2 linked regions of the Callithrix jacchus genome follow. The protein of the gene in region 2 interacts with the protein of the main gene of each other region in a biochemical or structural test. Links are inferred from orthologs where the notes say so. Each region holds a gene or a part of one and is shown on either strand. Other genes may lie near its edges.

What was found.
Region 1: of the proteins of CASP3 (region 2) and GZMB, one has a biochemical effect on the other in vitro, tested with the Homo sapiens proteins (2 studies listed by BioGRID). The link is inferred for Callithrix jacchus from reciprocal best matches to the Homo sapiens genes CASP3 and GZMB.

The regions. Positions count from the first base shown.
Region 1 is NC_133509.1:58,857,114-58,862,386, forward strand, and holds the start of GZMB (granzyme B precursor), read right to left. Parts: upstream 3,389-5,273; 5' UTR 3,353-3,388; coding exon 3,298-3,352; exon of another isoform or gene 2,478-3,297; coding exon of another isoform or gene 2,282-2,477; coding exon 2,134-2,281; intron 1,674-2,133; coding exon 1,538-1,673; intron 1,333-1,537; coding exon 1,072-1,332; intron 450-1,071; coding exon 237-449; 3' UTR 1-236. UniProt on the Homo sapiens protein: Abundant protease in the cytosolic granules of cytotoxic T-cells and NK-cells which activates caspase-independent pyroptosis when delivered into the target cell through the immunological synapse. It cleaves after Asp.
Region 2 is NC_133504.1:6,739,675-6,744,790, reverse strand, and holds the start of CASP3 (caspase-3), read right to left. Parts: upstream 3,276-5,116; 5' UTR 3,211-3,275; coding exon 3,022-3,210; intron 2,335-3,021; coding exon 2,236-2,334; intron 1-2,235. UniProt on the Homo sapiens protein: Thiol protease that acts as a major effector caspase involved in the execution phase of apoptosis. Following cleavage and activation by initiator caspases (CASP8, CASP9 and/or CASP10), mediates execution of apoptosis by catalyzing cleavage of many proteins.

The DNA.
Region 1 (5,273 bases), on a different chromosome or scaffold from region 2:
TTTCCTTTCGTTTTTTTTTTTTTTTTTTTTTTTTTTTACATGGAGTCTTGCTCTGTCACCCAGGCTGGAGTACAGTGGCATGATCTTGGCTCACTGCAACCTCTGCCTCCTGGATTCAAGTGGTTCTTCTGCCTCAGCCTCCTGAATAGCTGGGATTACAGGTATATGCCACCATGCCTGGCAAATTTTTGTATTTTTAACTGAGGTGGAGTTTCAACATCTTAGCCAGGCTGGACTCAAACTCTTGACCTCGTGATCCACCTGCCTCGGCCTCCCAAAGTCCTGGGATTACAGGTGTAAGCCATCGTCCCCGGCCTCATGGTTTTCTTTATCCAGTGTACAAAGCTTGAGACTTTGGTGAAGGCCCGTGGAGACTTGCCATTGCGTGGTCCATGAGAGACAATGCCCTGGGCCACCTTGTTACACACAAGGGGGCCTCCGGAGTCCCCCTGTGAATAGAGAGTGGAAGGATTGAGCTGATGCTTCTCTTGGTCCTGCCCTTTCTGCCATCTCAAGCCCCCTCTTAGTGAAGGCCAACTTGCACAGCCTGTACATGGGAGACCAGAGGGCAGGGCAGGCTCCTGGTGGTCTCCAGGTGCCAAATTCTGGCCCTGGACATTGTTATTGCTTCACCTTATCCCAGGGGCCAGCCTCTGTCATCTCCCCTAGATCCCAGGTATGTGGGACAATTGGCTGAAGCAGGCAAGGAGGGCTGATACCCAGCATGGAGTACCAGCTGATTAACCACGTTGGGTATCAGCCTCTGAAGACATACCTGATTGTAATTATTGCACCCCCAGTGATCATAGTTTCCTAATATCTGTGACCTGTGGTGGGTGGGGTGTTGCAAATTCATCCTTCCAAAGGAGCACCAACCACCATAAGCCTCCTGGTAAGTTTGCAGAGGCCCTAATTTCTCCCCAGCTCTGTCTGTTCCCCTTTTCTTTTTCCAGAGAGAAAGATCACTGTCTAGTGGGTGAAGGAGTTCCCCACTGCTTGGGTCTCCAGGTCTCAGATCTTCCCCAAACATCTTTCTCCCCAGAGCCAATCCAGGCAGATACGTAGTCTTACCTTAAAGGAAGCCTTTTTAATCTCTGGGTCCCCCACACACAACTCAACTGTACTGTCGTAATAATTGCGTAAGCAGGATTCACACTTTCGATCTTCCTGCACCGTCAGGTTTACCGCCTGTAGTGTGTGTGAATATGTTCCCATGGGGGTTGTCCGTCCCCAGCCGGCCACACTGCACACCTGCCCTGGCTTCACCTGGGCTTTGCTGCTGGGTAGCCTGAGGGGCTGTACAGCTGTGGTCCTCTTGGCCTTTCTCTCCAGCTGTTGGGGAAGAGGCAAGAAAGTCCAGGTCAGCCAATGAACTTCTGGGCCCTGACACAGTGATGGGACAGTGCCGTCTTCCCTCTCCTCTGAGGCACAGGAATTGACCAAGAGGCCAGGATGGAAAGGAGGGGAAGGCTGGTGTCACAGTGGGAGTGGAACCAACTGTACCAAGAAGAGCAAGAGTGGCAGGAGTGTGCCTCACCTGCAGTAGCATAATGTCACTGGAGAAGTTCTCAGGATTATAATCTGGGTGGCAGAAGGTTCTTCTCACAGGCATGCTCTGCTGGGTCCTCTCCTGTTTCTTGATATTGTGGGCCCCCAGGGTGACATTTATAGAACTGCACAGAAAGCAGAGTGGGGATGGGGGTGGAGTCATAGGGGATACAACCCAGGAGCAGTAAGAGCAGGTGACAGCTGGGGCAGGGCAGGGCTGCAGCTGAGGGGAAATTGAGGGGACAGTTGGCCTCCAGGAATTGGAATTCTGGTAATTGCACCAGGTTTCTCAGGGGTTGGTTCCCCCTAGAGACACAAGTGAAATTACTTCAGATTGCATTCTTATGCCAAAGTATGCCCCAGTTCTATATATGGCAGGCTTGGTCACTCTGCTCTTTCTTACTTCAGCAGTGCCTCTGGAACTGACCTTCCCCTCTCCTCACAAGCTTACCTGCCCTTTTCTCACCCTCTAAGGAGCCTTCCTGGTATATGTGCTCCCAGGAGCCCAGGGGGCTCCTTGAGAAGAAGGCATGGGTCTCTGTGAAGTGTTTCCAGGAGGGCATGGGGCTGTTTTCTGCTCCTCACCTTCCCCAACAGTGAGCAGCTGTCAGCACGAAGTCCTCTCGTACCAGGAAGCCACCACACCTCTTCAGAGACTCCTGATCCCAGATTGCAAGATAGGCCATGTAGGGGTGGGAGTGGGGCTTGGCCTCATGTCCCCCGATGATCTCCCCTGAAGGAAAAGTCTGTCTGCTTGTGTGCACCCATGCAGTCTGCTGGGTGAGTTCCTGCTTGATGGTTCCAGAACTCCTGGGCAGTTGGGAGCCTGGGATAGCCTGGAGTTGGGAGGGGCCTGGAGGAAGGGGCTTCAATTTCCTGCTCTGAAAAAGGGAAGAATAGCAGGCTTTGGTCTGAAATCTTTCTTCCATATGTAGTTGAATGCGAGCATACCTGTCTTAGGGACAGTGAAATTCCAGAGGCTCCTGATCATTCCTCTCCTGACTTTGCTTTGTTTCAAGTGAGTTTCCAAGACCCTTAGGAGTCTTGTGGTGTCTAGGATAGTGCTGCTTTCTAACGGCCAGAGTGTTAAGTGGAGGGCTCTAGATACTGTCACATCCTATTTCCTAGAGCCTGACATGTGCTGGGTGCCCAATAAATGTTCCTGGCTGCATGATGGACTGGCTCCAGTTAGCCTCTGGATGAGGGCTGGTAGAGCAGTGCTGGTGGAATTCTAGAAAGCAGGGAAGTTGGGGCCTGCCACAGTGCCTCATCTTCAGAAAGAAGGGAGCCACTAAAGACCAGAGAAGAAAAGCAGAATTGGAGAATGGGACTGAGCAAACGCATTAACAGTGCTTTGAGGACAGTGACTGCACCAATTCTGTAGGCAGCTGAGCTCTGGGTTTCTCTCCTAAGAAGACAGTGAGAGAAGCACCTGTCTTATCTCAGAAACAGAAGCCAGGCCCACTCTAGAATAATTTAATATTTCGTCCTCTGCCATTTACTTCTAGGAAAGTACCACTCTCCAGGTGACAAAGGTGGGCTCTGAGGAGGGGATAGCACCCACTGGCTCTTCTCGAGAACAGTGTTTTGCTCTGCCATTCCTGCTGATAGTTTATCCAGCATCACTCTTGGGGGGTCTCGGTAGGATGGGAGCTGGAGTTCAGAATATTCCTGGTAGATAGATGGATCAGGAATGTGAAGAAAGGGCAGGGGACCTGTGGGATGGGGTTGGGCCCCCAGGTCACTCACCTGCATCTGCCCTGGGCAGCAGGAGGAAGGCCAGCAGGAGCAGGATTGGTTGCATCATCTCAGGAAGTCTGCCCTGGTTGGAGCTGCTGTTGTTTCCTCCTTGCTCTCTTTTAGCTCTTGGGAGAGGAAGGAGGTGGAGTGGACTCAGTGACTTCATGTTCCTCTTTGGTTTTGCGGTGCCTGATCACAGAAGGTTTTCTATGAATGCTGCCCACCCCCACTGCCTCTGCCTGATGACGTCCTCTGGGGGCTTGTGTGAGAATCGTGCAGTGACCACATCAGCACCCACAGCTGATGACTCAGAGTGGATCACCTATTCAGCCTAGAGCAGGAACCCAAGCTCATGAGGTGGACTGTAGGATGTGGTAACAGCCAGTAGAGATACTAGAGCACTAGAAACCTGAGTTTCCAGTGACAGAACCACCAATGCTTTCATGGCCAATCCATCAGGATAGTTTCTTTAGTGAGTATGTGTTTGAGCCCTTCTCTTGTGCTAGAACAAAACATGTTGGAGATGTGTCTCTTTCCCTTAGAAAGAGGAGATAGAGTATAGTTTGGGGAGGGCTATGGTAGAGCAATACACAAGGCAGTAACAAAGCATGGCCACCAACTACTAGACCCATTTATTGTTGCAGCTTCCTTTCTAAGGGATTTCTAACATCCACTATTTAGGTAGAAATGTTTAGTGTGAGAGGCCACCTCTTTTCTGAATGCTTTCAACAGAACTCTTGTACTTGACATTTTTTGGGCCTAAATTAACAAATTGCTATGGTCCTAGGAGTTGAATCCACTTTGGATAGGCTGGGATCAGTCCACTCAAACCACTCAAACCAAGAATGAGAAAGGGCTGCTTCTCTAAAGGATGTTTGGGATGCTAAACTGCTGATATCATGTGAAATGAGGAAGCATGCCAGGCAGCCAAAGATTAGTAGTTGTCATTTTTAGTGTTCTGTCTCCTGTCCAGAGAGCCACACTTCTTACATATCAAGCTCAGCACATAATAGGCTTACAGTAAACATTTGCTAAACAAACTACTCTAATGCTTTCCCTCCCCTAGTCCCACACCCCTGACAGGCCCCAGTCTGTGATGTTCCCCTGCCTGTGTCCATGTGTTCTCGTTGTTCAACTCCTACTTGTGAGTGAGAACACGCAGTGTTCTGTTTTCTGTTCCTGTGTTAGTTTGCTGCTGATCATTCCTCTCCTGACTTGCTTTGTTTCAAGTGAGTTTCTAAGACCCTTATGAGTCCTGTGGTGTCTATGATAGTGCTGCTTTCAAATGGCCAGGGTGTAAATGGAGGGCTCTAGATACTGTCATATTCTATTTCCTAGAGCCTGACATGTAGTGGGTGCCCAGTAAATATTCATGGCTGCATGATGGACTGGCTCCAATCAGCCTCTGGACAAGTGCTGGTAGAGCAGTGTTGGTGGAATTCTAGAAAGGTGGAAACAAATCACATGAATCAAACCACATGGAGAGACTTAGTTGTTCTTTTTTTTTTTTTTTTAATTGTACCTTAGGTTCTGGGGTACATGTGCAGATCATGCAGGATTGCTGCATAGGTATATACATGGCAATGTGGTTTGCTGCCTCCATCCCCCTGTCACCTATATCTGGCATTTCTCCCTATGTTATCTTTCCCCAACCTCCCTACCCCCCGCTGCCTCTCCCCTAGTCCTCCGCAACAGACCCCAGTGTGTGATGCTCCCCTCCCTGTGTCCATGTGTTCTCATTGTTCAACACCCACCTATGAGTGAGAACATGTGGTGTTTGATTTTCTGTTCTTCTGTCAGTTTGCTGAGAATGATGGTTTCCAGATTCATCCATGTCCCTACAAAGGATACGAACTCATCGTTTTTTATTGCTACATGGTATTCCATGGTGTGTATATGCCACATTTTCCTTGTCCAGTCTATCATCGATGGAAATTTGGGTTGGTTCCAGGTCTTTACTATTGTAAACAGTGCCGCAATTCAAG
Region 2 (5,116 bases):
GGCATTGTGGTATACACCTGTAGTCCGAGCTACTCAGGAGGCTGAGGCAAGAGGATCGCTTGAGCATAGGAGTTGGAGGCTGCAGTGAGCTATGATTGCACCACCGCACTTGAGCCTCTAAAAATAATAAAAGTTAAATTACTGTTTTTATGTTCAGCTTTCAGTATAAGTCATTAAGACATATTTCCTGTAACTCTTGTTTTTCCCCACAAGAAAAGTGAAGCCTGTCCAGTAGGACTTCTGGGGAAACTACACTTTTGTCAAACAACTTGAAAAATATCGGGCTTATATTTATCACCTGTCAGAGAGGACAGTCTCAAAAGCAGTCATATTCCCAGATTTAGCAAATGAAACAAAGAACATCTGTTTCACAACAGTTTGGACATGAAAAGACTTCAGTTGTAATGTACCAGAGGTTTTATCAAAATCTTTTCCCATCTGGTCTCTGAATTCATTTTGGTACATATAAGAATTATCAAACTGGCTATTGTCATTGGGCCTGGTGCAGCCAATCTTTTAATATTTATTGTGTAGTTAAGGTAAAGATATGAGAACGGGAACGCAAAATCAAATACAGAATAAATCTAAATAAGTTCCACTGTACTATACAAACAAATAAACCATCCTTTCCTTTTCTCTGGCATGGGCCAAGTGACCAGGAAGGCAGTATAGAGCACTCCCCACTATTAAAAGCCTATGATACCAGACAGAAAGAATGGCACTTACTATATGCAAAAGATCTGTCTTCCCTTTGTCAAATGAAGTCCTTTTGGATGGCCAAAAGGAGAAAATGGCAAAGCCTTCGCAGATCTGAATAATCTGTATGATTATAAGTGTAAACGGAGGATCTCGGATGCCTTTTTATAAAAATTATAGATAACTTTAAAGCCTCAACACTCCCACCAAGAACCACTAGCCTGCAGAATCAGATTCAGGTTTAAAACCACTTGAAGAAATAAATCCTGCTGTCTGGAAGATAGAAACTGCCAAAAGTCAGATTCAGTAGCATTCATTCATTTGATATTTGGACCATAACAATTTACTGAACACCAGCTGTGTGCAGAGTACTATACTAGACCCTGAGCATATCAAGCAGTGGAAGAGACAAACCCCATTTGTCTGCAGCGCTTATACCAATGCTCGCTGGTATTCAAAGGTGACTGAACAAGGCAGATGCCAGATGGTGTCCAATTACATATCAGGTAGCTCTATCTCATTATTGTAATGCAAAGAAGCTCTACAGGCAACATGTGAAGGCAAGAACGCAACATGCAGAGAAAGAGCATCACATAAATCTAAGAATTCCCACATCGTTTTTTGGGCCCGAACACCAGTGTTTCCTGTTTTTGGGGTAGAGCTTAAAGATCCAGTAGTAGGCACGAGAAGCAATGTAATATATCATCCACACCAATAAAGACTGCTTTGTAGGGGTATGAAGCAGTGGGAGATTGTGCTAAACTAGGTTTGAAAGCACTACAGTAAAGCAGCATTATAATTGCCTCTATCAGATGCCAGTCTCTTCAAATGGCAAGAGGCAAGGCCTTTTTTCAGGATAGCAAAGCAAATCTGATTTACCTAGGTACAATGTCTAACTAATGTCCGTTTCTTTGAACAGGTTTTACTGCCATACTCCAATAAACTGTTCGTCCATTCATTAAAAAACATTTCCACTTTCAAAAACCTTCTTTTGCAAAAAGGCAAAGCAAAACCAGAGTTCAAGCATCGGGCTGTGATAGAGATGATTTAGGCTTTACGTTTCATTTGCGGAGATCATGTCACCACAGCATGCACATTCACAGTGGCTGAGCCCATTTTGATAGAGTGTGGTCTAAGCACCCTGCCTGGCCCTCCTTCTGCTATCCTGCAGGGTTACACTGTTACAACGACTCCATATGTCGCCTCTACCATTTCTTTTCTAATTATAATTTGCTAAACAATCCTAAACCCGGTCTACTTTCTCTAGATAGGGCATAATAGTAAAAACACAAATGGATGGGCATTCACGGTGCTGTGCCATGCCCCACATTTGGGGAAAGACACTAAGGCACACCCAGATAAACCAAGTCTGTCCCTCGGCGTTTGCTTACAAATGCAGCAGGGAAGACAGTAAACAAGCAACTGCAAAGGATATGACACATCTCTCCTAGGAAAGGCTGGCTGCAGAAAGAACACGTTACAGAAAGATTTAACCCTGAACTGTCTAATGAAAACAGAAATCCAAGTAGGAGCTCTTACTTCCGAGCAAACGTGATGGAGGGAGAAAGGGAATGCAGAGGCGTCGCAGGTAGAGCTGGGTATGAAGATCAGCACTGCTGCGCAGAAAGTGAACCGGTGCTAAAGATAAGGCGGGGAGGGTGCTCGCAACACGTGCCGGGGTTTGTTAGCCATGTTAACTGCTGGGTTTAACTTAAGGGCAAAGCACGAGCTTTCTAGACTTTCATTCACTAAGATCCCTCAGCCTGTGCTGAAATAAATAGACTGCAAAGGTCTCTTCCCTGGTCTCCCCACTTCCAGACCCGCCTGCAAAGGAGGTCAGGCTGAAATCAGAAATGGAGAGATGTGGACAGATCTGGCAGGCATTCACAAGGTCGACAAGGCTTGGTGACTAAGTGGGAAAGAAGTAGGTGGGCGAGAGGGGGCTGAGAAGGATGTTTTCTACCTTCCTGCTTGGGTGCCACTTACTGAGAATGGGGGAAAGAGGCAGGTGCAGAGCACCCCCATTGAAACCCAGAAGGCCGAGGATGAGCAGGGCTCGCTAACTCCTCGCGGCCTGGGATTTCAAGGCGACACCACCCGACTGTGGCCAAGGATACACAGCGACAGGTATGAGCTGCGAGCACTCACGAAACTCCGCAGGGCCGAAAAGGAATTGGAGTTTCAACCCCGCAGCTACCTCCATGGAAGAGCTAAACCACAGTCAACCCGGGATAATCCAGGCCCCAGGCATGGAAGGCAGCAGAGACCGAACCCTCGTCCAAAACTGGGAGGATGAGCCCCGGGGGCCAGTAGCTCAGTCCGCACCCGGCCGCCCCGGCCCTCGTAGCGCCGCCTCCCGGGCCACTCCTCCGCCGGCGGTAGCGCTGTCCCTTCTCCTGCCGCCTGGCCCGGCCTCCGGCTCCTGGCCCAATCGCTAGGCCTCCTGCGCTCAGAGCTCGGTGTCTCGTGCCCGACCTCCCGGCCCCGCGCTCGGTTCCTCCCGCTGCCTGGCATCCCCGGCCCCGGCTCGGTTCCCCGGCCCCGCTTCCCGCTGCCTCGGATCCCCGGCCCGGCCTCCCGCTGCCTCGGATCCCCGGCCCGGCCTCCCGCTGCCTGGCTTCCCCCGCCCCGGGCCAGGTCTCCGGCACCGCGGGCTTCAGTGCTCGCCTCCGCCCCGGGTGAGGTGGCAAAACAGAGGCTCCGCCACCCAGACCGTGCCCATCTCAGTCTCCCGGCACAGCTGCCGAGCCGGGCGGGTCCCCGGGAGGACGCAGGGGGAGGACGCAGGGGGCAGGCGCAGGACTGACGGCCCGGGGCGAGGGCGGCACTCACCGCACCACGTCCTCAAACCTTCCACAGCCGCCAAACAGAAACAGCCACCCGCCGGGCTCCGCGTCCGCTCGGCTTCCGCAGCCCGCTGCCCGGAGTCGTGAGCCCCAGTGACAGCCCCGCCCCCGGCCCGCCCCTCTCGGCCCCGCGCGTCCCCGAGCTCCCGCCTCTGGGGCGCGTCCCCGAGCTCCCGCCTCTGGGGCGCGTCCCCGAGCTCCCGCCTCTGGGGCGCGTCCCCGAGCTCCCGCCAGCCCGCCTCGCCTGCCCGCCAGCTGGCGGCGCCCCGCCCCGGCCCCGCTCCTGCGCCGCGCCCCGCCCCCGCCCCCCAAGCGCCCGTCCCCAAGCGCCCCGCCCTGACCCCGCTCCCGCCCCCGCCCCCCAAGCGCCGGTCCCCAAGCGCCCGTCCCCAAGCGCCCCGCCCTGACCCCGCTCCCGCCCCCCAAGCGCCGGTCCCCAAGCGCCCCGCCCCGCCCCCGCTCCCGCGCCGCGCCCCTCCCCCGCCCCCCAAGCGCCCGTCCCCAAGCGCCCCGCCCTGACCCCGCTCCCGCCCCCGCCCCCGCCCCCGCCCCCCAAGCGCCGGTCCCCAAGCGCCCTGCCCTGACCCCGCTCCCGCGCCCCCGCCCTCGCCCTCACGCTCCGGTCGCGTCCCGAGGCCCCGCCCAGACCCCGCCCCCAAGGCCCTGCCCGGCGCCCCCGCTCCGGATTTGAAATCCTGGTCTTCCTGAGAGCCCGCGGGCTTCTGCTCCCAGCGCGGGATTCTGGAGGTAAATTGAGGGAAACCTGGAAACTGCGCCGGGCCCAAGGGGTGGTACCTAGAAGGGAGACGAGGCCAGGCCTGCTGCCCAGTGAGCTCCGGGAAGCACGGGAGCACGCCGAGAGGCCCACCGGTAATGTCTCTCTCCGATGACCTGAGGCCTTTCCTTGTTACCCCCAGGTCCCTCTTCCTGAATCCTTAACCTCCCGTCACCGGAAATAAGCAGGTCCACGCATGTGTGTTTCCACCATGCCAGGCTTCTGTTGACGCTCTTTCAATCTCAAAAGCCACGAGCTGCGTGGAGTTCCCACGGACTCGGTTCTCAGCACTTCTGGTCACTGGGTAGTCGGCCTGGACCGGCAGGCTCCAGCCACTCCCCCTGCAGGTAGAGCTGCAGACGGTCACACTCTACACCGAAGTGCCACAAGGTAAGCCTCCCGCAGCACACAAAGTAGCATTTAACCCCAGGACAAACAGACGAACGAAGCAGGCCAGGGAGGACAAGAGAAAAAGAGGCCTGGATTGGGCCGAGAGGTCCTTCTGAAAATGACTGGAGCTACCGAAGGCCTCTTTTTGTGTTTTTCTTTTCCTTTTTTTTTTTTTTGAGATGGAGTCTCCTTGTTGCCCAGGCTGGAGTGCAGTGGCGTGATCTCGGCTCACTGCAACCTCCGCCTCCCGGGTTCACGTGATTCTCCTGCCTCGGCCTCCCGAGCAGCTGGGATTACAGGCGCGCGCCACCTGGCCCGGCTGATTTTGTATTTTTAGTAGAGACGGGGTTTCACCTTGTTGGTCAGGCTGGTCTCGAACTCCCAACCGCAAATGATCCGCCCTCCTTGG